Canis lupus familiaris: one gene and its partners. The protein of the gene in region 3 purifies or fractionates together with the protein of the main gene of each other region. This does not show direct contact. Links are inferred from orthologs where the notes say so. Each region holds a gene or a part of one and is shown on either strand. Other genes may lie near its edges. The genes, in order: APEX2, RBX1 and CUL9.

Region 1 (10,599 bases), on a different chromosome or scaffold from region 3:
GGTTGACTGCATCCCAGTGGTCAATGGGGCAGTGGGCTGTATTCAGGTCACCCAGAATGATCACGTGGCTAAAAAACATGACATGAGATTATCAACTAGACATTCAAGACAGGGAACCAATAGTCCTGGCCCATCTACTTTCTTCTGGGCCCAAGAGCTCAGAAAGGCACCTTTTCACACAGGGAGTCCAAGGTAGGAGTCCACAGCAATGCATAGCAGGCTACCTCTCCAATCTTACCATAACCTTGCTACCTTTTATGCCTGACCAACCCAATTCTGATCTCCAGAGATGAGATCATTCCCTGACATGATTATCTCACTGATCTCTACCTAATGGCATCTTTCTGGTCCTTAAAAGTTGAGCTCAGGTACCACTTCTTTTAGGAAGCATCCCTTGATTACTCTAACCCACCCTCACTTTCCTGTCCTTTCTTGGGACAAGACTTTTCATTTGCTCCTAGACACTTTACCTTCTTTATCTCATTTCATCCTTAAAACTATCCTGTGAGGTAGGGATTCATATACTCACTTGAGAAAATAAAAGCAGAACTAGCCTCAGGACTCATAGTGAATAAAAGGGCCAGGATAGGTGCTTAAAGGTATCTAAGTACAAAACCCATATTTGTACCACTTTACCTGATCCTCACAGCTCATAGAGAGCAGAGCCCATTCTGGGAGGTATGCTGGTGTCTCCAAGTAGGCTGTAAAGGAACTCAAAAGACAAAGATCCCACATCCCGTTCAATGGAGCTTGATACCTAAATGGGCTGGGAACCTAGAACCTCAAGTACCACTTAGGTTTACAATACCTGCCAGCTGCCAGGAGGGCTTCTGCTCGGATCTGCAGCAAGCGATAGAAGCGCATTTTAAAGGTCAGCCGCTCAGGTTTCCCAGCATCCGCATGGGGGCAGTACACGTTGATTAGGGTCAAGGTCTTCTGCTTCCCTTCCCATGTCCTGGGGAGAAGAGACCCCCCCACACACACACACACACAAGAAAAGGTCATTTCCAAATCTCCCCTCTCCACATCGTGTGGCTTCCACTTAATGGTTGCCTGTGGGATGGATGTGAAGGGGACAGAAATACATGAACATGCCGGCATGCACAGGACTTGGGGACAGACTACAGGTAAAACAGGGAGAGGGGCATCTAGGATAACACCCAGGTAAACCAGGTGACGGTGCTGCCATTCACAATGACAGGATACTCAGAAAGAGAGCAACTTGGGGCGATGAGTTGCTAAGTTGCCTTTGAGGTGCCTGTGGTAATAAGGGAGCTATACCTCCCAGCCAGTTCCCCACTCTAGAGATAGGAAACTCAAAGCCCAGAGGCGAATATGATTTGCCCAAGGTCACATAATGAGTAGCCCAGTCAGAACTGTAGTCCAAGAAAGGCAAATCTGGGATGTTTTCCATGATGAATATAAGTATACAAGGTAAGCCTCAGAGTCACTACACTAAGAGTAGAACCAGCAGTGCTCAGTGCAAAGGGATGTGGGCTATTACCGGATCTTATGCTGTGTCAGGAGGGCCCGGCCCTCACTATCCAAAGCCCGAAGCTCCTCTTGGGTGAATTCATCCATGTTTCCATAGCAACCCACGTCCCCATTATGAGTGGCAAGTAGGCCACTCAGGCCTTCTTCAGCAGCCATGGGAGTAGCGCTGTCCTTACAGAAGGTAGCTACACCTGGAGATAGACAGGATACTCTGAGAGGTCCTAGAAGTCAACAGCCTATCGTATTGCTTGTTGCCCCCAAATGGGTCACCTGAGTCAACTTCATCTAATGTGGTTATACTGACAACTCTCCCAACTCAAGGGCCATGGATGGCTCCTGAAAGCCTGAGGCAATTTTGAGAGTCTCAGTTCCTTCATCTAAAAAAGCCACAGAACAATAATAGCTAATGGTCTAAATGTTTTATATGGATACATGGTAAGTGTTCAAAAATTATTAGCCATTATTATTATCACAGACTAATTTGTTTAATCTTTGTACAGGAACACCACAATATATTGCAAGTTCAGTTACAGACTACCACAATAAAGCAAATATTGCAATAAAGTCCAATGAATTTTTTGGTTTCCCAGTACACATAAGAGTTATATGGTTACAATATTATAGTCTATTAAATGTGTGCTAACATTATGTCTAAAAAAAAAACAATGTATATTCCTTAATTAAAAAATACTGCTAAAAAATGCTGTCTATCTGAGCTTTTAGCAAGTTGCAAGCACTGATCACAGATCACCATACAACAAATATTATTAAGGGGCACCTGGGTGGCTTAGTCAGTTGGGTGTCTGCTTTCGGCTCAGGTCATGATCCCAGAGTACCAGGATCAAGCCCCACATGCAGCCCCACAGGGGGCTCCGGCTCAGTGGGGGCCTATTTCTCCCACTCCCTCTGCTCCTCTCCCAGCTCATGCTCTCTCTCTCTCTCACTCACTCTCTCTCTCTCAAATAAATAAAGAAAATCTTTAAAAAAATAAAGTATGTATCTTTAAAAAATAATAAAAAAATTACACATAATAAAAAAAGTTTGAAATATTTAAGAATTAACCAAAATGTGAAAAAGAGACATGAAGTAAGCAAATGTTGCTAGAAAAATGGTGCCAGACTTGCAATACAGGGTTGCCATAAAACCTTCAATTTAGGGCAGCCCCGGTGGCCCAGCGGTTTAGCACCGCCTTCAGCCTGGGGTGTGAGCCAGGAGACCCGGGATCGAGTCCCACATCGGGCTCCCTGCATGGAGCCTGCTTCTCCCTCTGCCTGTGTCTTTGCCTCTCTCTGTGTGTCTGTCATGAATAAATAAATAAAATCTTAAAAAACCTTCAATTTATAAAATATGTAGTATCTTCAAAACACAATAAAGTGAGGAAATGAGTGAAAATATCAGTGAGGGTGACAAAACATGAGAGACACCTAACTCTGGGAAACTAACAAGGGGTAGTGGAAAGGGAGGTGGGCAGGGGGTTGGGGTGACTGGGTGACAGGCATTGAGGAGGGCACTTGGCAGGATGAGCACTGGGTGTTATGCTATATGTTGGCAAATTGAACTCCAATTAAAAAAAATGAAAAAAAAGTGGTACTTAGACTCTTAAGTATAGAGGGGAGGTGGGTAGGGGGGATGGGTGAAACAGATAAAGAGGATTAAGAATATACTTCTCTTGATGCACACTGAGAAATATATAGAATTATTGAATCTTTATATTATACACTTGAAATTAATATACTACTGTATGTTAATTATATTTTTTAAAAAATAAATCGAACTTCAAAAAAACACAATATAGTGAAGTGCTTTATATATGTATGTATATATGAAAATATATAGATATGTAAATTCATATATTTGTTGCTTATCTTGTATTTACTTATATATGTTTATTTATAAATGTATATATACATATATATATATTATGTATATATACAAAACAAGGTATGCCTGTAGTAGCCCTAGGACATAGGCATTATTTCCATTTCTCAGCTGAGAAACCTGAAGCACAAAGAGGTTAAGTAACTTGTCAGAGGATACACAGCTAGGAAGTGAGGTAGGACTCAAACCCTGGCAGTCCTAAGTTCATACAATAAACCACCACATGACTGTGCTTCCAAAGTCAAATAGGGTAATTTTACACATAAAAACCATCCTTCGGGATCCCTGGGTGGCGCAGCGGTTTGGCGCCTGCCTTTGGCCCAGGGCGCGATCCTGGAGACCCGGGATCGAATCCCACATCAGGCTCCCGGTGCATGGAGCCTGCTTCTCCCTCGGCCTATGTCTCTGCCTCTCTCTCTCTCTCTCTCTCTCTCTGTGACTATCATAAATAAATAAAAAAAATTTAAAAAAAAAAAAAATTAAAAAAAAAAAAAAAAAAAACCATCCTTCATGTAACTTTATGTGACTTTAGCTCTGTGGACTAAAAGCCTGTGGCGCCTACAACATGGGACAGAATGAGGGGATGCAAGGGAGGTAGGCCAGATCTGCTGCCCTCACCATGACCCAGGGTAACCAGAGGTAGCGCATCCACCAGAAGAATATGAAAAAGCAGAGCTACTAGGTTAAGGGAAAGTACTGAGATAATGGGCTTTCTGCTGCCACCTGCAAACAGAGGGCCTCAGAGACCATTCAGGAAAAGCAAAAAAAGGCAAATGAGAAGGAGGAACCCAAGTAGCTCTGTGGCTACATGTCCAACCCTCTTGGTCTCCCCTGTGTGCCTGGAGCCAGTCCCACCATGCTCTCATTTTCTCCTGTAGTGCTCATAGGTCCCAGCACCATTAGCATTCATTTTTGTCCTGTTTCCGCAGCGGATCCCTCCTGTGCTTTTTTTCCTTCCCTTAGCCTCTCTTCCCCTAGGCCATCCTGTGGGTGAGGGGGTTACCCCCTTCCCAGAGTTTTTTATTCCTGTGGGGCTCACTCCAAAGTATTAAAAGTAGCTTTTAAAAGACTGAGTTTCTTATTATTTTCTCATCAAATATTGGAAACTTTTTCACCCCCCGACCTGCCTCCATCACTAATTTAACATTCCCAGAAAGCCCCATTTACCAGAATAGCCACTGCGGTTGCGGCTGAAGCTGAAATAGGAATTATAGCCCTCAATGATAGCCAGTGGCTCTGTGAGCACGTCTCCTGCAAAAAAACAGATGTAAGATTGTGTCAGAGATAAAAGTAGAGCCTAGGAAACAAAGGTCTGGAATTAACATTGTAGGGCAATTCCTTGCACACATCAGAGCCAGAGTAAGATTAGAGGAGGAGTTAGAAAGGTAGAAACTAGAGAGGGAATTGATATCAGAATAAGAAAGCTATAGAATGAGAGGAGAATTAGGTGGGAGGAAGCTAGTGATTAGGTGAATGGAGGGAGCTGGAGGTGCGAAATGGAAATATGAGAGAGGGAACTGGGAATCTGAGCTGGGGATATGAGGTTGGAGAGAGAAGCAATTAGAGGATCTGAACTGGGGATGGAGGAAAAAGTTGTTAGTGGGTCTCAGGGTCCAGTGCAAGGGAGCAGGAAGGAATGGGGGGGGGAGTGTTGAGCTCTGGTGTGAGAGAGGGAAATAGGGAATCTAACCTTGGCATAGGACATGAGATAGAAATAAGAGGTTCTGAGGCTGGAAAGGAGAAATGGGGAGCTCTAAGGGATCTGAGGGGAAAACTGAGGATTGAGAGAGGGAGCGGTAAAAGGGAAGAAATTAGGAAGTCTGAGCTGGGAACAAAAATGGGGTGGAAATTAAAGGATATGAGCTGGGGGCGGGGGAGGGGAATTGGAGGATTTAACTTGGGAGCTGGAGCTGGATAATGTATGAGGAAGAAATTTGGGGTACTGAGCTGGGGCAGGAGAATGAGTGGGATGTAGAGGGTCTGTACGAGGAGGAAGGTTGCACGGATGAGGGAATTAAGATTGTGCTGAGGACAGGAGAAGTAGGAATTAAGACATCAGACTGGAGTGAGAAAAAGGGGTTTAAGAGAAAGGGGTCAGGATTCTGAACTAGGTCTAAGAGGAGGACTCTACGGATAGAGAAATAGTAAAGTAAAATGAGATTAAGTTGGGGAAAAATTTAGTGGAAATGGTAAAGTATGGTAGGGATCTTGGATTTTTGAGCGCTCACTGGTCACTTTGGTCTCCTGAAGGCAGACGATGTCGGCATCCAGCTTGTCCAAAATGCGCCCCATGGCCATGGCGGCACAGTTGCTGGGCTCCTCATATACCATCCCTTGCAGGGGGCTCCTGATCCCATTGATGTTCCAGCTCACCACACGCAACATCTTGACGGCCAACTGCAAAGCCTCACAGTACGCGCCCAATGTAGGGGACACAGGACAACTAGGCGCCCCCGGCCCAACCAGATCCCGCCTTCCGCGCGCATTGGCCCAAGCGTTTTCCTGCGCGCCACGAAAAATGTCGGCGAAAGTGAGGCGGGGCTTCGAGCCTCTCAGTTCTCATTTGGCGGGAGGAGCGGAAGTTGATGGGGTGGTGCAAATGCCTAGGATGAATGAATGGCAAGAGGAAGTCCTCCAGTTAGGCTCCTTCTCCTCCTTCAGCACTCCGTCCGCACACCGCAGTCTGACTGCGTTTCCGAGCAGCTCTAAAGTCCCCTTGGTGCTTCCAATTACTTACAGATGGGATTTCGCCACCTTTTAAGCAGCAGAACGAAACCGCGCGGTAACCGAAGCCCCGCTCCCAGTGAGACTGACCTTACCTCCAAGTGCGCCTCTGTCGTCCTGGGTTACTGCTGTAACTGTGCTTGGGTGGAGGAAGGGAGGCTCGAAGGGAACCGCGCCGCTAGAGGGAGCAATAAGAAATGCTCTAGAGCATGGGGAGTCCGGGTGGCTCAGCGGTTTAGCGCCGCCTTCAGCCCCAGGGCGTGATCCTGGAGACACGAGATCGAGTCCGACGTTGGGCTCCCTGCATGGAGCCCGCATCTCCCTCTGCCTGTGTCTCTGCCTCTGTGTGTGTGTGTGTCACTCATGAATAAATAAATAAAATCTTAAAAAAAAAAGAAATGCTAGTGTAATTAGATTTATAAGGGAAGGGGAAGAGAGGAACCTGTCTCAAGCCCACCCTCTAGCCATTATTTGTCTTGGGCTTTATAACATTCTTAAGTCCCCAACACATACTTTTTCCTGGCTCCATTTCTCAGATAAGTAAAGTCGAGCCCAGGGAATTGAAGTGGGCTACCCAAGATCCAGAGCAGCACTGTCTCCCAATGTACCCCATGGCTCTTCCACATGCATTATTTGTTTGATTCTCTGGATAACCCCATAAGGGGTATTAAGGCTAAGTATGACAGAATGAGTGAGTTCACCCCAGTCTCACAGAAGTGGTAGAGCCAGGATTCAAAGCCTATCTTAATCAGCTCAAGGAATACTTTCTTGGATAAGTTTTTCCTTAACACCCACACACTTCCCCAGTTAGGTCTTTTCTCTGGGCCCTCACAGCACCCTGTGGTCCATTCTGTCACAGCACTTATCGCAATGCAGAGCTACCATTGATTGCTGTTTTTGTCACACAACTGCCAGCAACTTGAGAGCAAAGACCATGTCTGATTCATCTTGTTAGCCCCATCCTCTAATCTAGGGCACAGCATATTTAGGAGTCAATAAATATTTCCTAATTGAATAAACAAACACGGAGCAAATGCAAAAGCAACAGATTAGTGACTTGTTTTTGAGAACACAAAAATAGAAATGATAGACATGCCCAATGTCCAAGGAAAAGCATGACTTCACATTCTTAGGTTCCTCACCCTAAGCTGCAGCATAATTTTCCCCCCAGAATACCATAACCTTATTAGAACCATCATCCTCAATGTCTGCAGAAAAGGCCCAAATAGCTGCTTTTCCTCCTAGAGGACTTAAAGGTTACCTTCCAGTTGTTGCCATCAGGATAAATAGCTCTGCAATTAAAATAAGAATTTTGGTGCTTTGAGCTTTTTCATGCTTTGGTGGTTATTGGCTCAGGATTGAGTCCCAGGAGAGGGATAACTAGGACAAAGGAAATTAACATTTTTATTGCTCTTGCTTCATATTGCCAAATCACTGTCCAGTAAGAGATCATGCCCATTTACACTAAAGACCAATCTGAAACTCAGCCCCTAGGAAATCCAGATCTTGCCTGTCTACATTGCTGGTTTTAATTTCCCCATTCTGCAGTTGCTTGTTAATATTAGTTCTGACCTTTGGGGCAAGGTGAACACATGGTTGGCCTGAAGAGAAAAGGCTCCGGTGGCTCAGGAACTTCTTTGACAACTAACACAGCTGATATTTCAACAGAGCACACACATGCCCCTCTTATTAAGGGTACTTCCACAGTGTTTTCAAGGAACCAACCAACGCCTCGAGACTCCCTCTTTAACGCCACCCAGGTACCTGCTTTGAAGGTCTAAATGCAAGAAAGCTGTGTGTCGGATAATTAGTGATGGAAGAGAAAACCTCTAGGAGAACAGGTAGGTGAGACAGAAGGAAAAATAGATAGGGATACACAATTCCAAATCCATTCTTTAGGTTTCTGGAAAGTTTTCTTTGTATAGGGGTTACTTGAAGTGAGCATTAAAGGGTATGAAAGAGTTGGGGAAAAGATGATATCTATATCTCTCTGTCATCCATCGCCACCTGTCTTTGTGGGACACTAACCAAAAGGGCAGTTCTCTAGCACCTTTAGAAGTCTCTCTTGGTCTATTCCAGTTTTGAGTGAACTGGATAGTAGGGATTATATATCTTACCTCCCCCAATAGTATATACAGTAGGTCTTGTTTTCTGTGGCACTTTGAACAAGCTTTTCAACCTTCTCAGAGCTTCAATAACCTTCTTACTAAAATGGAAATTGAAATCCCTGGCCTACGTCCTTCAGAGGGCTATCTCAAGGTGAAGAGGAGTAGGAGAAGAAGAACCAAATTTCTGGAGATGTTTCAGAACTTCCATGCTCTGTCTGAGATTAGTGATCCTGCTTTTTTCTGTAGCCTCCACAGGCAATACCACCCACAGGCCTCCAGCTGCTCTTCTCTCTGAGTGACTATGGTCTGTAGAGAGCCACTCCTGGGACTGGGATACAGTAATCCTTGGGCTCCAGGTGTGAGGCTGAATGTGGTGGGGGGATAGTGGGCCAGAACAGTGACTAAGAATTAAGTGGTACCTAGGTGGTTGCCACAGAAAGCCTAATACACATCCGCACCTAAACTATAAGCATGTGGCCAATCTCCCCTGTACACCCTTACCCCCTACAAATGCATTTATACCCACATACTCCTAAGAATTACTAATAGAGATACTCCATTTGTGATTTTGTAACCCATCAGTATGGGTTTAATAGTGCTTTTAGTGGGATTCTCCCACATACCCTATACTTTGGGAGGATGATCAGGACCTGTGAATCTCAGGAAGTCACACTGTGTGCTTTTCTCCATAGAGTTAACCCAATTTAGAATCAGATCTTGGTCTTGAGTGAGTCACTGATACTGAGTGAACTCTTTTTCTGCAACCAGTTGATTGGACTTTTTCAGGTGGGGTGGACTTCATTCTTTTGCTCATTCTATTCTGCCCCATTCAAGGTTAAAAAATCTTTCTAGATACCACCTTCTACTTTCAGACCTAGTTAGTTTGCCCACCCAGTTCCCTGTATAGATCTCAGTTATGACATTTACTTTTCCGAATAGTGATTGTCTATACGTTCATCTCATCTAGGGCAGAGAGATACTCATTGAGCAAGTGTTTCCTCCTTGCCAGAACCTGAGCTGAATACTGGAAACACTGATCGCAGGTAACTGAAGTCTAGTTCCCATCCTCAAGGAATTCATAGTCTAGTAGGGAAGTACACCAGTAAAAACTAGTGGATACTTGCTCAGATAAATGGAAACATACAGACAATATGAGAACCAAAGATAATGCCTATCCCAGATTACAGGGAAAGCTTCCCAGAGGAGGCAACATTGAGCCAGTTCTTGAAGATTGAGTTAGATTTCACTGAGAATGGAAGGAAAGAGAAGGCATTTCAGGTGGAGCAAAAGCCCAAAGGTTTAAAAAATATATATATGTTATGTTTGGGGACTCCATGAATCAGCAAGCGCAAGTTAAGCATGGGCTTAGAAAGAGAGACATGGCTTAGAGAAGTAGGTTGGGGCTTGATTTAGAACAGCCATCCTGAGACCTTTCCATAAATCTTGTTTAGTTCTCCTGCTTCTAGGATCAAAATTGATAACAGGTAAACAAACAAAAAACCCAGACAAACAACACATACACCACAAAAGCAAGATAAAAAAAAATATGACAACAACAACAAAAACCAGCTAGCTAGTTCCAGTTCCAGGCAATTTTAACTTGGGTTTTCAAGCCTGGACCCTAGGTTTACCCTTTCAGACCTTGCCAATAGCCTGCTAGCCTCCTATCTCAGATTTCCTGCTGCTAAAATTATCTTTCTGCCTCTTGGCAGAGTCATGAGGACAAAACTGTAAACATAGAAGGGGGTTCATGTAACCAGCTCAATTACCTTGGACAAGCTTTTTCCCATCTCCCTAGACCTTAGTTTCCCTATGAAACTAGTGAGAATGTAAGGAGCAACTAGGATATGGAATATGTTGTTGTTTTGTGGACAATGGAAAACATACATGTAAAAAGTTATTATTAGGATTATTAACATTGCAAATAAAAAAGAGTTATTACTTTACATCTGTCAGAATGGCCAAAATAAAAAACAGAAGAAATAACAAGTGATGGCAAGGGTGTGGGAACAAAGGAACCTTCATATACTGTTGGTGGAAATGCAAATTGAGGGAACCTCTGTGGAAAACAGTATGGAGGTTCCTCAAAAAACTAAAAATAGAAATACCATACAATCCAGCAATTCCACTACTGAGTATTTACCCAAAGAAAATGGAAACACTAACTCAAAAAGATATATGCACCCCTATGTTTATTGTAGCCTTATTTATAATAGCTAAGATATGAAAGCAGCCAAAATGTCCATCAATAGATGAATGGTAAAGAAGATGTGATATACATATATACACACACAAAAATATATACATATACATATATATGCACACATACATATATATACATATACACACAATGAAATACTATTCAGGCATAAAAAAGAATGAGATCTTGCCATTT
Region 2 (10,562 bases), on a different chromosome or scaffold from region 3:
TGAATGGGTCTATTTGATCTTTGGGGAAGAGATATGCCATAAGAATTTTTTTTTTCTACGCCTTAAAAACATGAAAGGCAAAGATCTGAAATCACAGGACTTCCTTTTGCTACCAGATTCACACTACAAAGAGATTAACTAGGTTTTCCTTCTGATAGGAGTAAAGAAGGGTCTATGGAGTATATTCAAGTATTTACTGGGGCTATGACCGAAAAGTAGAGAATATAAAATCTGATGTCCTTCAGGTTGGAGCCTCTCAGATGAGGCCAGGGTATTATGACATTAGCTAAGTAAGAGGCATAATTATTGAAATAAATAACAACTATTTCAAAGTACATAAATTTGTCTAGGTCAAGGTATTTTTAAGGGACTCTGTCTTTTTATGCCAAGTGCAAAGTAGGCTCTAGGTAGTTGAATAAGCAAACAAAACCACTTCTACAGAGTGAATGGGGACCAAATACATATGTATTTTTTACCTGATAATTCCTAACAAAGAACAAAAATATATAGAAGGGATAGGACTGCAATCTAGAATGCCACATAAGAAAGGAAATGGCATGGAAAATGATTAAATATGAGTGTAAAATGTTTTCAAATAGAAAACATTCTTGAGCTGTTGGTGCAGAGTGAGTACAGGAGTTGAGTCCTTCATTTAAACAGGAAAAGTAACTGTTCACTGTCAACCTAGAGCAGCCAAAACAAATAGCACATGATGGTTCCTATCATACCCCTACAAAGGCAGAGGCTTAATGCATGTGATACATAAAGCTTGGGGACTTTTAAATTTCAATACAAGAGCATTACCACCAAAGGACTGCCAAGGAAGCAATGGCTTCATCTCAGAAACGGACAGATTTCACTTTTTTTTTTTTTAAGATTTTATTTATTTATTCATGAGACACACACACACACAGACGGGCAGAGACACACGCAGAGGGAGAAGCAGGCTCCATGCAGGGAGCCCGATGTGGGACTCGATCCCGGGTCTCCAGGATTAGGCCCTGGGCTGACAGCGGCACTAAACCACTGAGCTACCTGGGCTGCCCAGATTTCACTTTAAAAGAGGGATATGGACCTATGGTTTAGGAAGAGGCTAATTTCTCACGGGCAAAGGCTGGGTCTAAGCCCTTCTGGATGCCCTTTTCATTTGGAACAAGATTATCTGAGGTAATGGAGAAAACCTAGAAATATTGTGCATTTCAGCAACTCTTTAGAACAACAAAGAAATGGGGCAATGTACAATAAATACAAAGCTAGACTAGGGCATGTAGTATCAATTTTGACTCAAAACAGGAAGTCTTCAGACCAAACATTCTCAATTGGGCACAACCATAATCACTCTTATTTATTTATAGCTATGTATATAATTATTCACTTAATGCCAGGCCAGAATTTATTAGAAAATGGCCATTGCTAAATCAAGATTCTTATTTTCAGCTTTAACAAAAAGTCTTTTTATAAGAATCAGAATCCATTTATTTTTTTTTTTTTATAAATTTTTTTAAAATTTTTATTTATTTATGATAGTCACAGAGAGAGAGAGAGGCAGAGACACAGGCAGAGGGAGAAGCAGGCTCCATGCACCGGGAGCCCGATGTGGGATTCGATCCCGGGTCTCCAGGATCGCGCCCTGGGCCAAAGGCAGGCGCCAAACCGCTGCGCCACCCAGGGATCCCAGAATCCATTTATTTTTTTAAAGGAAGACAAACCCAGTTGTGGCAACCAGACTTCTCTTTAGTGTCTGTAATAAACAAAAGGTTATGTTTCTTAAAGTAAAAACTTGATCTCAGTCATTGTTTTATCCTGGTGCCTAGCAAAATGCCCAGGATGTGAGTATTCATTGCATGAATAAAAGACAGGACTCTTAATTATAAAAAACAGACTCTTAATTATAGAGAACAATCTGATGGCTACCAGACGGGTGGTGGGTAGGGGGATGGGTTAAATAGGTGATGGAGATTAAGGAGTACACTTGTCATGATGAGCACCGGGTGATATATGGAAACGTTGAGTTACTATATTGTACACCTGAAACTAATATTATGGTGTATGTTAACTGGAATTAAAACCTTAAGAAATAAAAATAATAAACTGTTTTATCAATTAAAACTAAATAAATGAATGACTTGAAAATGCTTTTATAATTTCTTGTTGTAAAAGTTCAATATTCTGGGGTGTCTGGCTGGCTCAGTCAGCAGAGTATCAGACCCTCAGGCTCAGGGTTGTGGGTTCAAGCCCTACGTTGGGGCCTACTTAAAGAAAAAAAAGAGTTCAATTATTCTACTTCACCTAACATTTAAAATATATGATAAAACAGACAGGAGTCTAACTGAAGACCTACATTGATCCCTCAAGAGTTCAACTCTAAGAGAGAGTATCAATAGCCTTTATCTGTGGTGCTCCTCCCAAAAAGCACATTCTCTTGCATCCAGAGAGACACAAAATAACTTAAATATAGAAGCAGGAAAAAAAACCCAAGCAGGGTTATTTGAAATCATTAACTATTTACAGAAGAGAGACCAAGAAAATAAAATTTGCTTTGGGCACAACTCCTTACGAAAATGTAAAGCAACAAAATTGGCAAGCATGTAATCAAAGACCCCACCCAAACACATTTAAAACTGTGCATGTGTTTTTCTGTGATGGGTTTCTTCTATCTATATTAAACATCATGGTAGCTGCTGTCTGCTTTGACTGTTGTGTGAAAAGGTAAACAGGGTCAAAACTCAAAGAAACAAAGGGCAATAAACTATCAATACATGATATTTGATTGGGGCTTTCCAAGTTGCAATGATCACAGACTATTCTTCTATTTTGTATTTTAATTATTCACTGACAAGTATTTAGCAAGAACCTATTATGTACTAGACACTATGCTGGGAGTAGAGCAGTTAAAAACATAGATATGATTGAGAACCAACTAAATTAAATACTACCAAGGAAAGTATAGACGGTCTTGGGAATATTTAATGGAACCATCATAGTCTGTGCGTATTTAAGTATGGCCAGGGAACACGTCTCTGAGCTAGTTCAAGGTGAGATCTAAAGATCAACTACGGATTAGTTCCACATCGTCCAATAAAGTAACCACTAGCCACATGTGGCTGTGAGCACTTGAAATGTGGCTAGTCTGAACTGAGATGCGCTTTAAGTGTAAGTACACTTCAAATAGTACCAAAAACAGAATGTAAAATAGTTCACTTTAAAATATTTACATGTTGAAATGAAATTTTCTTGGATATAGTAGGATAAATAAAATAGAAATCATCTGTTTCTTTTTATTTTGATGTGGGTACCAGAAAAATTTAAATTATGTATGTACTTGCATTTGTGGCTCATATTTAGATTGGACAGTAGTGGGTCAGGCAAAGGTAGTGGGGAGAAGGGGAATATTCCAGGCAAAGGGAACAGGGCATATTAAAGGCTCTAAAAAAGAGCACGGACACTTCGAGAATGGAAAGAAAGCCAAAGAAACTACCAGAGTGAGCAGGAGAGTGGTGCAAGATGAAGCTGGAGAGGCAGGTGAGTAATTTTCAAAGTAAGTGCCTGTAAATGCAACTCTACAAAGCTGAAATTTCTTCATCTCATATCTGATCTCTGTAACAAACCATTTCAGTACCTGGAAGAAAAAGTAACCTCAGCTGTTCCTGGTGTGATCAACATACTTGCCCCTATTACTATAAGGACACGGAGTCCACGGATAGCTATAATCAAACCCACCATATACTGGCTACTATATGGGATGGAATCTGTAGATTTAAATGAAACTTCTTTACTGCAATTAGTTGTCTATTTAGATGCTGGCACCGATGTCCTCTTAACTTAGGGGCTAACACTGAAATTCCTTACTTCTTTGGCTTCTTTTCTTTATAAATCTTGCCAAGCAAAAACTAGCTTTGGTAGAATATTTTAGCTCAAAGTTTATTTTTTTTTTTTCCTTTCACTATTTTTGCCTTTGAGTCTGGGTATGAGATGGGAAATATAGAGGAATAATCAACAGTGCCTCTGTGTCCACAACTCATTCTAAATGTGTGCTTGCCATCTTTAGACTGAGTAGATTTATTCTGAGAGATGAGTATGTCTCCAGGATATCATTAAATCTACTCTATTTCAAACATACCAACGGACTAGAGGCAGAAGACACCAAGTGTTCTGACTATGCTTTATATCTCCTTGGGAAGAAATTTGGTCACATCAGAATAGCCACAATCTCTGTAACCTTCTCAACTTCCTCCCATCCACCTCCAGTTACTTACAAAGATCCATAATGTGGTTCCTGCAGATGGCACAGTTATCAACCACAATATCCCAGGCCCAGAGAGCTACTGCATTCCACTGCAAAGAGAAAAAGGGGGAACAATGCACTCTCCTTGTAACACAGGCGTACACACACTCTAGGATTTCATGCTGCAGCTACAGTTATCATCTCTTTGGCCACAAGGACCACCAGACACAGGAGCTTGGGGATATTACCTTACTCTTATTCATTTTATCAGAGGGCAACAGCAGACTACAAGTGTGCTCACCCATTTTCCAAAAGGCTGAGTATATGAACATAAATTAATGAATCCTCTTTATTTTCTCCTACAGCTTACAATAATTTAGTCAACTGTATCAATGTAAGAAAACCGGGAATAATTTTTGAGAGCCTGTTTTAGGCTTAATAAGCACAAATTTGAATTTCTGCAAAGGTAAATATACGCTCTTCAAGGCAGCTGTGAAGGTATGAGTGGGGAGGTGAAAGCTGGGGACAGAATGAACTAAGATGATGATTGGATCATAAAATGGGTAATCGTGGGATAAGCTGGATAACTAATTATCCAGTGTCAGTACAGAGCAAGGTCATCACTTAAATCTCACAAGATTATTTCACAACAAATTCTAGAATTCACTAAAATTTTGGTTAGTTCCTTCCATCAAATAAACTGGTGTTCTAAACTTTTACAAGCTCAGGCTCCTATTTAGTTCAGATAATTCCACTTAAGAGTTCATTTAAAAGCGGTATTTAAGTAATTCAACCTTTCTGGCTTCTGCAATTATAAATATCCCCAAACTCCCTTTTCATCCACCAATTTGGTGCCACTTCCAAAACCTTCATCTCTTTCGAACGCAATTCCCCGTCTAGTTAAACTTCTTTAGCACTTTCCGACAGCTTCAACTTGAACGGGGGAAAAAAAAAAAAAAACACAACAAAACCCTATTTCTATTCTTCAATATGGCTGCTGGCTGTAACTGAGCATGCAGTGCCCACAATGAAACACCAAAAAAGCACTAGGAGGGGGGAATATTGTCAGTGTTTAGCCAGATGTTCCAGGAATAACATTTCCCCTATTTGAGTCTTCATTTTGAACAGATTTATTTTATATCATGTGAGAATCGGCACTTTCCTCCCAAACTGTTGGCAAACCACTATAAAGCAGTTCATGCAAAAAGACACGTTCCACATTTTTGCTTTCCCACAGTCACCAGGTCGTTCGCCACTAGTACTCAACCCTTCCTAAATGACACAAGGTTTGGGCTCGCATTTTCTTTTTAACAAATTCCACCATGCTTTCCCCCCCCCCCCCCCCTTTTCCTTTTTGGACAGAGGGATTCTGGAAACGAGCACAGGACTGTGGAGGCTGTGTGACAAACCAACAGACCTCTCAGAAGAGCCAAGAGTTGTTACACTGGAGACACTTTAACTCGGCGGGGGCGAGGACTAGAGAGAGGGCTGAGGGAGGCCTCGAGGAGGCGAGGACCAGGCTGGGGTCCCTCAGAGTCAGAGGGACCCCGAGCTTCGGGAAGGGGCGGGGCAAGGAGATCACCAGCCGGGCTCCTCAAAGGCCTCCACTGCGGTAGGAACTCAGGTCCCGGCTTTCGCCGCACTGCCCCCATCCTCCACCCACCGCAGCGCTCCGACTCCCCCTTCCATCCACCCCACCCACTCCTCCCCACCCCTCCACCACTCCAGTGACAGCTCAGGCGCTTGGCTCCCTCAGCCAAGTCTCAACCCCGCGCATCTCAACAAGCGCCTCTGTGATTGGCCCCTCAGACTCCTAGTGAAACCAATACTGCCATTGGTAGTGGGCCCCAGTCACGCCGATCAACTCTAAGACCCGCCCCCCAGCTTCCTTTCCTGGTACCCGGTCCCAGGAACGCCCTGAAATGAAGCCCTTTCCTCCGCGCCTCGGTCATCCTCGGGCCTGCCAGCCAGATCCGCGCCTCTCTAGCCTCTCTGAGGAAGGCGCTGGCGAGACCCAACCTTTTTCACTTCAAAGCGCTTCTTGCCCGCGCCGCTGTTGGTGCCGCTCGGGGTATCCACATCCATCGCTGCCGCCATTTTGGAAACACACGGTCCGTCGTCCGGCCACTGCGCCTGCGCACCAGCGCACGCCTCGCTCCCCCTCCCGGCCCGGCACCTCCTCTCGCACCCCGCCCCTTACTGGCGCGCGAGGGGCAGGTGGGGGCGGAGCACGTGGCCACGCCTCTTAAAGGCGCTGGCGCAGGTCCCTCCCTCCTCCTTCCTGCCGCCGGCCCCCGAGTCGGCTGGGGAAGAGGCGGTGGCCGGGGCGGGGCCGGGCGGGGCCGAGCCGACGTGCTCGAACCGGGTGGAAACGCTCGAAAGACTAGTCTCCTCCCGCGGGAAGCCCCCGGCCGCGCTCCCTCGGCTGGGGCGGCGGCTGCTTCCTCCGCCTCGGCCGCGACCTGCCGCCCCGGCCCCGCCCCGCCTTCCCCGCTGCCGCACCGCTCCAGCGCCGGCGGGTCTTCCGCAGCGTTCCGCCCGGGGAGCGGCCAGGGCGGGCGCCCCGCCTCCTGCAGCCGAAACCGGAGACCCCGCAGTGTCGCGGGTCTCGGCTCGCTTCCGAGCCAGGCCCGACGTGCAGCCTCGCTGGGAAAGCCGGGCCCAGGCGCCGTTAGGTCCCTGATTCCGATTCGGGAAATGCTCGGGATTCGACAGGGAGCCGGGAGCTCCCCGAATGTCCTCTCCAGGGCCCAGCCGCGTAGGCATTCTCCCGTCCTGCCTCAACCTGCCCACCTGGAGCCTCGGGGATGCCGCCGCCCGCCCGCCCCAAACGCCATCCGTGCTAGAATGCCCTTTGGTTAAGGCGCAGGGTTTCAGTTTCACATACTCTTAACACACCTTTCCTGTTCCTCAGTTGGCCACCTAACTGTGGGGGTCCCCTCTCCCTGATCTCCATCCTCTTCCCGCTCCTTGCGCCGTGGGCACACTGCAGTCCTACTTGACTTTGTGTGAGGCGTTTGGCCATTGATTCTTACTGGTCGTTCCCAGCCAAAGCACCTGTACTTCATGTCTGCACCCGGAACCCCTTGTGGCTCTCTAACCCTGCAGAGGTATGACTCGGCTAGATCACTCCTAAATCTCGTATTGGCTTATTTGGAATCTCGTATTTTCTCTTGAAAGAAAATTGGAGCATAATGGAGTGTATGGACTCCACTGCCAAACCGGAAGAACTGCGATTTGTTTCCTTGCCTTAGTCATAAACAGGAACAACAAATCCATGAAAACACCACCAGGGCTTACACCAGACTTGGAAAGAGAAAAATTGTGTGAGACCTTAAAACGTTACAGGAACCCTACAAAGTTTTCCTTAGCCCAAATTTTGTTAGAGTGATAATTCCATGTTAAGATTCTTGTCATCTAATTGATTGTGTTCCCAAAGGCCCCTACGGGATACTAAAAACCCATAGTAAGTTAACGTATTAAGTGTATATTTAACCTTCATTAAACAAATTCATTGAGTATGTATGAGATCGTGTTATAAATTGGAGAGACACGGTGATGAACAAATTCCTGGTAGAGAAATAATACACAAGTAAGCAAATACATTGGGGAGGAAAAAAAACCATCCTCAGGTATCAATAAGTGCTATTAAGAAGACAAAAAGATATCATGAAATTGAAGGGAGAATTGTGTGTGATTAGGTAAGGTCTCTATGAGGAGTGACATTGCAGCTGAAGTCCTTACAAGGGCCTAAAAGATCCTGCATGATCTGTTACCCATTCATTTAATACATTGTCTTCATTTTTAGGAAATGGTACACATAATCTAACATGGTTTTTATTTACTTATTTATCAGGTTTATTGTCTTTTGTGTGTCCTCACCAAGAGGGGATTTTGTTGTTGTTGTTTTGTTTATTGGTAACAATACAGTGCCTTGTACAGGGCAGGGCTCAGCATGTGTTGAATGAACAAAGTTGAAGCTTATGGAGCAAGGAGATTGTGGTAAGAGGTGTCAGACAGACAGGCAGAGGCCAGATCAGGTAGGGATCTACAGATATTATGGGAAGGTGTTGGAGGGTTTAAACTAGGGGAAGGGACTAACAGTGACAAAAAAAAATTTTTTTTAAGTTTTTAAGCTTTGCGAGGAAGGGATTATAGGGATACAGGAGAGGAAGCAGCAACATTTGGCAAGTTGATGGCTTTGTATAGAGCTACAGTGGGGAGAAGTATGATCTTAGGGGCTGTTCCATTAAGCTATGAAAACCTCATGTACTGATCTCTCCTTTGGAGATTTGCCTTGGCGTGGTGATTGTCCATGATGTTCAGTACCCTGGACTCTACTGCATAAACCTAAGAAAACTTTTTGTAGATTTCATACAGATTCCCATCTTTCTTCATAATTTCACTCAGCTTACAATGTAATAGGTTGTAATTTTACTCTCATCCATCCACTCATTCAAATATTTCTAAAATATCTATAGAACCTGCTGTGTCAGGGATGCCTAGGTGGCTCAGTGGTTGAGCGTCTGCCTTCAGCTCAAGTTATGATCCTGGGGTTCTGGGATCGAGTCCCACATCAGGTTCCCCAGAGGGAGACTGCTTCTCCCTCTGCCTATGTCTCTGCCTCTCTCTCTGTGTGTCTCTCATGAATAAATAAATAAAATCTTAAAAAAAAAAAAAGAACCTGCTATGTCAATACCCCATGCTAATCTAGGTAAAAAGGCAATTGCTTTTAAAAGTATTTGCAAAAGGCCCCTTTCATCATTGCTCTTATGGTATACTAGCAGAGAGGCAAGTCAATTATTGATCATTCCAATGAATTTTAGGAAAAGGGAAGTTTGGGGTACTGTGAAACAGAAAGTGGGTCTGTGTGGGGGGGTGGGTAGTGAGGAAGTCTTCTTAGAGGAAAAGGTTTGAGATTGAAGCATAAGCTGGACAAAAAGCAGCAGATGCAGAAGGATGCTGGTAAATGCTTAAAAACCAGCTCTAAAAAAAACAACCAAACAAACAAGAAAGCTCTGATTTGTAGTGTGAACAGCCAGATTGCAAAATTCCTGAAAATTGCTCTTGTAAGCACTTGTAAGCTGATGTACCCTGGCTCCATCACACACACGCTGAGTGATATGGAAGAAAATGGCATTCCAGGTAGAACAGTGTGCAAAAGGGACTCAAAGCTGGAGAATGCACAATGCATCCGTAAAGAAGTCTGGAATGGCTGGAATATAAAGAGAGAGTGATATAAATAAGTCTGCAATGATGAGCAAGAGTCAATTGTTTGCATCTCTTTTCAGTTCTATATTTGACAATGTTATATTGGTAGCTTGGAATTAGCTATAATAGTAGTATTTACACCATGGAAATTGGCAAACACAGCATATCAGAGCTTTCCACTCCCCAATTTATTTATTAAATATTTACCACTGGTAGGGGCCAGGTCATGCTGAGTGGTTCAATGGACCCATGCAAAGGGTTCTGGTATTTACCTTTAGTGATGGGAAGCCTTTGAAGGATTTTAACCAGTGACTCACATGGTCAGATGTGCACTTTTAAAAAGTGCTAGAACATGGCCTAAAAGTACAGGAACTGGATCCCAAAGATTACAGGTGGAGAATTTTTGAAGTATGTTCATATCCATATGGAGATGAAAGAAGCACAACTGAAAGAACTCTGTACTAACAGTGACAATTGTGGATTGAACAGAAGTTCTTTTTTAAAGGGGTATTTTGAATATTATGATTCTGATTTTGGAGGAACTGTAGTGATTAGCAGTGGAAGGAATCATGTAAAATTCCTTAAATGAAAATATAATGACTTAAAAATTTTTTTAAAAAGTGTTAGGGCTTCGATGAAGTAGACATACCTTTCCCTATCCTTCTCTTTTAAGTACCACTGAAATCCCTGAACAAGTTATATTAAAAAAAAAAAAAAAAGACTCTGAGAGATGAAGAGGCAGATAAGTTAGAGACCTCAGGTTTTGAGGAGTGACATGGTAGTGAGTTTCCTGAGTGTTCTTTTTTACTTCATATGTCTCAGACTTGGAGCTGAAGAAGCTGGTAGCCAGAAATGCCAAAGAGTGCAGACAAAAAAGGGAAGAAATAAATAGAAAAGAAAGAAAAGAAGCTGCTTTCTTTTTTTTCTTAAAGATTTTATTTATTTATTCATGAGACACACACACGGAGAGCGAGAGAGAGAGAGAGAGGCAGAGACCCAGGCAGAGGGAGAAGCAGGCTCCATGCAGGGAGCTTGATGCGGGACTCAATCCTGGGACCCCAGGATCACGCCCTGGGCCAAAGGCAGGTGCTAAACTGCTGAGCCACCCAGTGATCCCAATATGCTG
Region 3 (9,918 bases):
TGTTTGTATCTGGTTACCATGTAAAATGTATACCTTCTTGTGAGTCTCAGTCACAAAGAAGTTTGAAAGCCTCTAGGGTAGGGGATAGATGGTCTAGAATAGGCAGGGTAAAGTATTGAGATTGAGGAGAAGATACAGATTGGGTGTGGATTACAGGGAGTCGGGCTCACGTCCTTCTGTCACTGAGCCAGCAAGATGGCATCGAGCAGCACATGGATTTTGACAGCCGCTATACTTTGCTGGAGCTGTTTGCAGAGACCACATCCTCTGAGGAACACTGCATGGCCTTTGAGGGCATTCATCTGCCGCAGGTACTCTGGCAGCTGTGGGGGAAATGCCATATACAAGGCCAAGGACATCACTACTGAAAATGTGGTTCAGGATTGTGCATTAACACCAGAGCTACTTGGGGAGCTTGTTAAAATGAAGATTCATGCCTGCTGCCCCACTTAGAATTTCTGAGATTAGAACCCAGGAATCTTTCTTTTAAGACACTCCTTGGGATCCCTGGGTGGCGCAGCGGTTTGGCGCGCCTGCCTTTGGCCCGGGGCGTGATCCTGGAGACCCGGGATTGAATCCCACATTGGGCTCCCGGTGCATGGAGCCTGCTTCTCCCTCTGCCTATGTCTCTGCCTCTCTCTCTCTCTCTCTGTGACTATCATAAATAAATAAATTAAAAAAAAAAAGACACTCCTTGTGTGTTATATAAGTCACAGTTTGAGACCTACTCAAAGTGTGGGGATAGGCGTTTATGTTTTTCTGTAGAGGATGATATTATGGGGAAAGGAGAGAGGATGAAACTAGCAGAAGATAAACCTACACCACAGACTATGTCTTACAGATCCCAGGAAAGCTGCTCTTTTCCCTGGTGAAACGCTACCTATGTGTCACTTCCCTGCTGGATCAGCTGAATAACAGTCCAGAGCCAGGGGCTGGAGACCGAGGCTCCCTGTCCCCGAGGGAGTTTAGCTGGGAGAAAAGCCGGGGGCAGCGAGAGCTGGAGTTCAGTATGGCTGTGGGCAACCTCATCTCAGAGCTGGTGCGGAGCATGGGCTGGGCCCGGAACCTCGGCGAACAAGGCACGTCGCCACCACGGCCAACCCGGTCCATCTTTCAGCCCTGCATTTCAGGCCCTAGCCTTTTGCTCCCCACTATGGTTGCCACCCCCAGAAGGCAAGAGCGGGCCTTCCGCCAACGCTCTGAATTCTCCAGTCGCTGTGGCTATGGTGAGTACGTGCGAGAGACGCTGCAGGCTGGGATGCGAGTGCGCATGCTGGATGACTACGAGGAGGTCAGCGCTGGGGATGAGGGCGAGTTCCGTCAGAGCAACAACGGCGTGCCCCCCGTGCAGGTGAGCCAGGGCACGTGTGAGATGCTGTCGGGGCTCTAGCTGGGGGAGCATAACTGGGGCTTCCATGCCAGGGGCTCTGGTAGGCCACCCATGGAAAAAAAGACCCGTGGGGATTGGAATGGTGAAAGGGGGTCAGCAGTTGAGAAGGGCTTGGGAAAATTGGGAAGGCTGAGAAAATTGGATGGGCTGTGAGGCCAAGCAGAGACTCACGTCCAGGAAGCAGAGCTGATACATGGAGACACTCTGCACCCCCACCCATTTAGTTGGCTAGGAGGAAGTGTCAGAGCAGAGACCATCAGGGTTAGGAGGAGATGAGTGGCAAGGCCAACCCCATAGGGAAAGGTAGCCTTTTGCTATACAGAGGCTTTCCCCAACTTAGCCGGGTGTGCATCTGAGGGCTATGGGGCCCAGCTCCAGGCCCAGCCTTGTCCTCTCAAGCCACACCACCCAGGGCTCAGAACCCTATTCTCATTTTCTTCCTCCCTCCACACTAGGTCTTCTGGCAGTCAACGGGCCGCACCTACTGGGTACACTGGCACATGCTGGAGATCCTGGGCCCAGAGGAAGCTGCTGAGGATGCGGCTTCAGTGGCTGTGGAGAAGGGGGCAGGGGCTCCCCTGCTGGACACAGGTGAGCCTTGAAGGGCACATGGACACAGCATGTCTCTGAACAGAGGAGTAGGCCTGGGGCAAAGCCACTCCTGATCAAGAGCTGCCCTAGAGATTCAGAAATGCACTCTGTTCCTGTGAAATGATAACACCGCTGTTCCTGTGTCCTCAGCCCTTCCCTCCTGGGACTGGAAACCTGTGGATGGGCTCTACTCTTTGCCGTACCTCCAGCCCGAACCTCAGAAGAATGAGCAGTTGGGATACCTGACCCAGGCTGAGTGGTGGGAGTTGCTCTTTTTCATCAAGAAGCTGGACATATGTGAGCAGCAGCCAATTTTCCAGAATCTTCGAGAGAACCTAGATGAGGTATCATAGGCCTGAGATATTTGGGTTTATAGTGGGTTTGGAGGCAGGATTCTCTAAAGGAGTTCAAGATAAGGAGGTGCTTAGGGGGAGGCTGGAGCTAGAAGTTAGAGAGTATGAGGGGGCCTGCTCGGAAAGGAGATAAATGCTGTGAGGTCTGGTATGTAGAAGTTTGCAAGGCATGGCAGGAGGCAGCAACCCTCCCTATTTTTGTCCCCAGGACCTTCAAGTCTACTTGTCCCTGAAATGCATACCCTTTTCTGTTGACAGACCCTGGGTGACAAGGCCCTGGGTGATCTCTCCGTGCCCATAGAGATGGCTGAGGGTCTGCTGCAGGTGCTCAGCAGTCGGTTTGAGGGTAGCACCCTCAGTGACCTGCTCAACTCCCAAATCTACACCAAGTATGGGCTGCTGCCTGATGAACTAAGCATCTCATCTTCTTCACGAAGTCACTCCTGTACTCCAGATCCAGAGGAGCAGTCCAAATCAGAGGCCAACTTCTCAGAAGAAGAGACTGAGTCTCCCAAAGCAAAAGCTGAGCCCCTGAAGGCAGATGCAGAACCTGCCAAGGGAAAAATTGAGCCCCCCATGGCACAGAGTGATTCACAGCTATTTAACCAGCTTCTGGTGACTGAGGGAATGGCTCTCCCCCCTGAGATGAAGGAGGCGGCCAGTGGTGAGTCACGTGCTGGGAGGAGAGGGCAAAGAAGTTGGAACAAGTCCTGGCCAGTCCCCACAGAAGTAGTTAGGGTAGAGCAGAGCTGTGGACTAAGGTTGCTGTTGCATGGGAAAATACTCTGGAAGCATGCATCCATCTTCCTTCCTTTGACCTTGGGTGTATCCAACCAATCACTGCTCCCTTCAGTATCCCAGGAAAAGGAGGGTCTGTTTTCCAGAATATCTTCATCTTCAGTGTTTGGCTATTAGATCCCTCACACAGAATTAGAAAAGCTCGGAATGCAAACTTCAGTAATGAATAATGTATTAAAATATCAGTTGGATAACTGGGCTTGACCTTTAAAGACTTCCGAGTTGGAGGAGCCTCAATTTTTCCTAAGCCATTACCTTTCCCTCACCAATTTCAGAAATGGCTAGAGGCTTGCGGGGCCCTGGTCCACGCAGCTCCCTGGATCAGCATGTGGCAGCAGTTGTGGCCACCGTGCAGATATCCAGCTTGGACACAAATGTGCAGCTTTTGGGGCTCTATGCCCTCTCTCAGGCTGTGGAAGAAGTCACTGAACGGGACCACCCTCTGGTCCGTCCTGACAGATCCCTGAGGTTAGTTAGCATGGTGGGAAGGGAAAGGGGTTTGGGCTTAAGCTGCCATTGGGGGAGGATGGTGGGAAGGAGGGAAGGAACTATAGCAGGAAGTTGAAAGGCTGGGGGTGAAAGAAAGGTCAACCTGAGGAGCAACCAAGCAGGATAATGGACTATTCTAATATACTCGGAGGACTTACTCTGTGCCAGGCTCTGTGCTTCAGGTTCTACACACATTCTTCTCTCTGTCTTCCTTCCTGAGGAAGAGTTGATGCTATGCTTATGCCATTGTTTGGGTGAGGAAACTGAACTTTAGAAAATTTAACTCATGGAGTTTGACAGCAGAGCCAGGATTCAAACCGAGCTCCTTTTGGCTCTACAGCTTGAGTTCTGACCCTGCTCCATGAGTTCTTTTATTTTCTTTTTCCTTCCTTCATTTGTTCCTTCCTTCCCTTCCTTCCTTCCTTTTTAAAGTTTTATTTATTTAAATATCTCTACACCGAACGTGGGGCTTGAACTCACGACCCCGAGATCAAGAGTCACATGCTCTTCCAACTGAGCCAGCTGGTACCTCTGAATTATTTTACTTTTTCTCCCTTCCTATTTTCTATTTTCAAAGATTTTTAAAACTGCTTCTTAATTTTACAAATAATACACAAATGCACTCCATTTTAAAAGATCTGAAGAATGTAAAAGAACATAGTACAGAATCCCTTTTTTTGCCTGTTGCCAGTCTGCTGTGGATTTTTCAGACCTTCCGTAGATGTACATTTGTTAGTGTGTTTGGAAATGGAATATCTTCTGAGTTTGTGTTTACATCTGTGTAATCACGCTACATGTTTCTACAATTTTCCCCCCACACTCAGTATGTCTGAGAGGGCTCTCCACGCCCATCCACATAGAGCTGCCTCATTACTTTCACCACTGCGTAGGACTCTGCAATAGGATTATCTCCAAGTTCAAGTACAGTGTTCTATTGGATCTGTTTTCCTCACGTCTGCCAACACTGGATATTACCATTTTTTAAAAAAATCTATCAGATTGGCAGAATTTTAAATGATTGATATCTTTGTTTTAATTTCTTTTCTAGTGAAGCATATTTGCATGCATTTGTTGTGTTTCTTCTTGTACAAATAATCTGTTCTTATCCTTTGCCCATTTTCCTACTGGGTCTTTGTTTTTTTTCTTACTGATTTGTAGGCAATCTGGATATTAATCTGTTGCTAGTGTTTCATATATTTTGCTTTTTTTTTTTCAAAATCGTATTAACTTTTCTGAACATAAAATAATATATGCGTCCTGTAAAAAAAGTTAGAAAATTATGAAGATAAAAATTATCTGAAAAACCTTTGGAGAAAGAGTCACTGTTCACATTTTGGTAAACTTTCTTACTTATATTTCTATATCCATTCATATATATGGCTCATGTGGTATTAACTTGTTTATAATAAATCCTGGCTACAGAAGGGGATTTATATTTGAGGCACATTTGATTCATGTTGTTGTCATCATAAAGCTCATGAGAAAAGACAGACAGAATTTTCCCAGGCTACCTCCTCAATATGTATCTCTCACTATGGAGAAAGATAATTTCACTGTTTTCCTTCTTGTGATGTTCAGGGTGATCTAGGGGACTCTGGAGCACTTCTTTCTTCTCTTCAGATCAGCAGTTCATAGGACTCTTTCCCTTCCTCACAATTGCTTATCTCTTAACTTTATGGACAGTGTCTTTCACTCTGCTAAAGTTTTAGAATTTTAAATTAGAATATTTTAAAACTTTTTTAAAAAAAGATTTTATTTATTTATTTACTCATGAGAGACACAGAGAGAGAGGCAGAGACACAGGCAGAGGGAGAAGCAGGCTCCATGCAGGGAGCCCGATGTGGGACTCGATCCCAGGACTCCAGGGTCACACCCTGGGCCAAAGGCAGGAGCTAAACCACTGAGCCACCCAGGCGTCCCTATTTTAAAACTTTTAATGGCTTCTAGGTTTTGGGTGGCTCTGTCCTTTTCCAAGATTATAAAAAAATTTCCCTGTATTTTGTAAATATTTTAAAATCTGTTTGCAGTTTCCTTATGCTGATGGGCCTGAGGCATTGCTGCAGCTGTAACTGTTTCTGCTGTCTCCACCTCACGGGTCGCATGGCCCTTGCTGTTCTTACTGGCTGGGATGTTACCCTTATCTAGCGATCTGTATCTACCCTGTGTCTTTAGTAGAGTTTTAATTTTCTCGAGTTTATATTTTGATAGCTAGCATACGAGTCTACCCTTGTTTCTTTTTTTTTTTTCTACCCTTGTTTCTTTCTAAACATTTCTTAGCCATTCTTGCGTGTTTTCTCATCCTCTGACTGAAGCTGCCTGTCCTGTGTTTTGTAAAAAAGACCTTTTAGGCATTGTGATAAGAATTACAAATAGACTTATTTGAAAGGGTGAGCCAGAGTCTGTGACCGTTTTTGCCCTACGGTCTCCTTGGTACAGTGAGGAGCCAGAGGCAGTTAGCTGGCAAAGGAAAGGGGATGAGGGGTGAGCCTAAGGTGAGGAGTGCAGGTTGGGGAGCGTGGGGTGATCTTGGTGGAAGGGGTTGGGCAGGGAGTCAGGTGTGACTTTGGGGATGGGAAACGGCCATGTCTCTTCTCTCTAAGAGAGAAGCTAGTGAAGACACTGGTGGAGCTGCTGACCAACCAGGTGGGAGAGAAGATGCTGGTGGTACTGGCTCTGCGCCTCCTCTACCTGCTGATGACCAAGCACGAGTGGCGCCCACTCTTTGCCAGAGAGGGTGGCATCTACGCCGTACTGGTTTGCATGCAAGAATATAAAACCTCCGTCTTGGTGCAGCAGGCGGGGCTGGCGGTGAGTGGACTGGGCCTGGCGGGAGAGGACGATGGGCAAGAGGGCAGGCTGGGCACTGCTGACCTTGGGGAGGTGCTGTGGTGACTTAGACCAGGGAGGAGGCTTGGGATGGAAAGATACAGGTGGGTTAAGGGTGTCAGCTGGACAGTCTTGGAGATTGAGTGCGTGTTTGGACAAAGGGACTAGGATATTTTTAAGAACGACTCCCAGATTTAAAATGGAGCAACAGAGGGGATGCATAGGCCATTTACTTAGTGGGGGAATGTAGCGGGAGGAAAGCTATGGGGAGAAGATCTGGAGTTGTGCTTTTAGTTTTGTCGAATTTCCCATGTCTTTTTAGGTACCTGTAAGTGTTTGGCTAGAGACTAATTTTCTGCATGTGACAAAGTAATTTTTTACCCTTTGATCTGAGTGATACCCTTACATAGAAAATACTCCCTTGCCAGATGTGGGTGCCTTGCCACCCTGGGCCTAGAGGATGGAGAAGGGGGGCCCTCGTTCAAGGGAGCTCACAGAATTGGCTTCCTGACTACTCCAGATACAAGTGCTGGCTGGTAGGAGGTGTGGGCAGGGTGTGTTCTGTCTAGCCTAGGGTCCCTGAGGGGAACAGGTAGGCTTCATCTGAATTAGTTCTGAGAATGGATTCCAGGAGTATAATGGCAACAGCATGGACAGGAGCACAGGTCCTCTTAGAGCAGGCTGTTCCAGAGCGAGGTTGGGAGGCTCTTTCCTGTGCAGGGCCAGCTAGGTGCTGCTCCTCTGAAGAGCAGCCAAGCATTTGTGTCTAGGCCATGTTTGCTCAGAGAATTCCGTACTGACCCTTCCAGATCACATGATCAAAATACAGCACTGGCCCCTAAATTCAAACACTTGCCCCGTAGCAGAATTGCATCATCTTGTTTATAACCTCAGGCTTACAGAATCCAGCTAATTGGGGAGAGGAGGGTAACCGAAGGGATAAAGCCTCATTATAAAGGTAGCATATGCATGGAGGATTCAGGCCTTATAAGGGAGAGTGTCCTGAGAATTAGTTCTAATCTCTATCCCTAGCAGGTTTCTTCTCAAGTGTTAACCCTTTCCCCAGGGAAGAGAGCCTCCACTCTAATGGTATAGCGTTTATCTTCATTTAATTTTCTATATAGTACCAGCGAACAAGTTCAGAAATTCCAAGAATTTTTTCCTGTAATTCCAGCCCCTCTTTCTGTGAGACAACCCAAGTAGTCTTATTGAGGAAGGTTGGCTACTGGCTTTGGAGGCTCAGGGACATAGGTTTGCAGTGTCGGCATATCAGTGGTGATTGAAGCCGTGGGAGTAGGTGAGGTTGCCTAAGCAGGGAGTGCAGAGTGAAAAGGGGGCAGGAACTTCCATGTTCAAGGATTAGGCAGAGGAATTCCAGAGAGGCAGGCCGACCAGGACAATATGAAGTCCTGGAACTCAAGAGAAGAGAGGTTTTGCAAAGCGGGGGTGGTCAAGTGAGATGGAAGACAGTGTTAAGGAAAGCCTTGGAAGACAACTAGATGCTGTGGAAAGGTCCTAATCCTGAGAGGAAGCTGCGGGAGGGGACAGTCACACCACTCAGCCACTCAGCCTCGTTGCTGGCAGAGCGAAGTGGCAGGCTGATTTTATCATTGAGCCTCATTTTTTTCTATGCTTTCTTTGCTTCTCTCTCTTTTTGTTTGTAGCATTTGATATCCCATCATGACCTCCTTCATTTTCATCTCCTACTTGACCTACTTGCAAACAGCTCAGCTGCCCCAAAGTTTGGAGTTGAGAGTGAGGACCTGGCTCTCCTCTTTTTCTGCAGGGTGGCTCTGCCCACCACTAACTCTGCTTCCACATCCCCATTGCAGGCACTGAAGATGCTGGCCATTGCCAGCTCCTCGGAGATCCCCACTTTTGTTACTGGCCGAGATCCTATCCACCCTTTGTTTGATGCCCAGATGACCAGAGAGATCTTCGCCAGCATTGACTCAGCCACCCGCCCAGGCTCTGAGAGCCTGCTCCTTACTGTCCCTGCGGCCGTGATCCTGATGCTGAACACAGAGGGGTTAGCGCATCACCCTCCAAACTCCCGCTAAGCCCCAAGCCCCACTACTGCTCTGCCCACATCTCATCTGCTTCACAGAAATTTCCCTTATGTTGTTATCTTTGGATGAAAAATTGGTGGCCCTCTCTGACTGTTGTTAGTAGAGAGGCTGAGTGACTGGGGGTAGGGAGTTCCCCAGGGAGAGCAGGGACACCCTGACCTTCCTTCCTGGGGTTGGGGGAAGTGACCTGAGGTCAGGGAGCTGGGTGTCCTGGCCTCAGAAGGAGCCCTGGAGCCCTTTCCTCCCTAGCTGCAGCCCTCCTCCTTTCTAGACTTGCTCTCTGCTTCCATTGCATTCACTCTCTTTCAGTTTCTTCCCGGGTTACCACCTTCCTCACAGGTGCTCCTCCGCCGTGAGAAATGGTCTGCTCCTGCTCAATCTGCTTCTGTGCAACCACCACACTCTGGGGGACCAGATTATAACCCGAGAGCTGAGAGATACCTTATTCAGGCACTCTGGGATAGCACCGGGGACAGAACCCATGCCTACCACACGCTCCATACTCATGATGCTTCTCAATCGCTACTCAGAACCACCAGGCAGTCCTGAGCACACAGGTACCATTGTGGATGGCGTGGTTCTTCTGAGGAATCAGGTAGTGCCAGCCTGTGGCCAGGAGGGCTAAGGCTTATATACTAGTACCTTACTGGAAAGATACAATGAACCTCTAGGAAAGGAGTAAGGGTTTTGGCACTCAAGTTAGGTCTTAAGTAGAACTTTCTGACGAAGAGGAGAAGGAGACTCTAGGATAGGTAAGGAAAATTATGTATCTAAGGCCAGTATATGGGGTATCTGGTTAGTGCAATCAGTAGAGCCTATGACTCTTGATTTTGGGGTTGTAAGTTCCAGCCCCATGGTGGATGTAGAGATTACTTTAAAATAAAATCTTTAAAGCCACCATGCTAGGTAGTAGGGAGGTATAATTATAATAGCTTATATTTATTGGCTTATGTAACAGCAGAACTACCACTTAATAATAACAGGTAATTGTATGACTATATGAGATTAAAAATGTGTGTGTTTAACCTAATAGTGTTTGCCATACTAAACTTTATTTCCAGACGCAGCTAACTATGCATTTGGGGCCAGAGAAGAAAATCCCCCACAGTTTGGTGCAAACTACAGACATCCTCCCAACAGGAGGAAAATTGGGGGGTGATTTTCTGGACCTGCCCAGTTTTCAGTTTGACCAACTTGCATGACTCCTCTTCATACTCATTTTTTTCCTCCCATGTGTCCGGGCAGCAGCACTGGAAACCCCTGGTGCCCCAGGCCAGGATGGGTCCCCTGAGCGCCTGATCCGATCCCTGGCGGGGGGCCCGTCTGCAGAGCTCCTCCTGGGCTTGGAACGAGTGCTGTGCCATGAGGGCGGCCCCAGCGGTGCCATGAGGCCCCTCCTCAA

What was found.
Region 1: the proteins of CUL9 (region 3) and APEX2 purify together in Homo sapiens (affinity purification with mass spectrometry; 3 studies listed by BioGRID and IntAct, counting the BioPlex papers as one, with this or other methods). This does not show direct contact. The link is inferred for Canis lupus familiaris from reciprocal best matches to the Homo sapiens genes CUL9 and APEX2.
Region 2: the proteins of CUL9 (region 3) and RBX1 purify together in Homo sapiens (affinity purification with mass spectrometry; 5 studies listed by BioGRID and IntAct, with this or other methods). This does not show direct contact. The link is inferred for Canis lupus familiaris from reciprocal best matches to the Homo sapiens genes CUL9 and RBX1.

Annotation. Positions count from the first base shown.
Region 1 is NC_049260.1:46,895,428-46,906,026, reverse strand, and holds the start of APEX2 (DNA-(apurinic or apyrimidinic site) endonuclease 2), read right to left. Parts: upstream 5,758-10,599; coding exon 5,601-5,757; intron 4,624-5,600; coding exon 4,540-4,623; intron 4,169-4,539; exon of another isoform or gene 3,992-4,168; intron 1,686-3,991; coding exon 1,505-1,685; intron 956-1,504; coding exon 809-955; intron 69-808; coding exon 1-68. UniProt on the Homo sapiens protein: Functions as a weak apurinic/apyrimidinic (AP) endodeoxyribonuclease in the DNA base excision repair (BER) pathway of DNA lesions induced by oxidative and alkylating agents.
Region 2 is NC_049231.1:25,232,444-25,243,005, forward strand, and holds the start of RBX1 (E3 ubiquitin-protein ligase RBX1), read right to left. Parts: upstream 6,405-10,562; 5' UTR 6,323-6,404; coding exon 6,245-6,322; intron 4,336-6,244; coding exon 4,257-4,335; intron 1-4,256. UniProt on the Homo sapiens protein: E3 ubiquitin ligase component of multiple cullin-RING-based E3 ubiquitin-protein ligase (CRLs) complexes which mediate the ubiquitination and subsequent proteasomal degradation of target proteins, including proteins involved in cell cycle progression, signal transduction, transcription and transcription-coupled nucleotide excision repair.
Region 3 is NC_049233.1:11,866,386-11,876,303, forward strand, and holds part of CUL9 (cullin-9), read left to right. Parts: intron 1-156; coding exon 157-311; intron 312-841; coding exon 842-1,351; intron 1,352-1,845; coding exon 1,846-1,981; intron 1,982-2,131; coding exon 2,132-2,325; intron 2,326-2,592; coding exon 2,593-2,998; intron 2,999-3,407; coding exon 3,408-3,600; intron 3,601-6,221; coding exon 6,222-6,429; intron 6,430-8,279; coding exon 8,280-8,476; intron 8,477-8,825; coding exon 8,826-9,073; intron 9,074-9,761; coding exon 9,762-9,918. UniProt on the Homo sapiens protein: Core component of a Cul9-RING ubiquitin-protein ligase complex composed of CUL9 and RBX1. The CUL9-RBX1 complex mediates ubiquitination and subsequent degradation of BIRC5 and is required to maintain microtubule dynamics and genome integrity.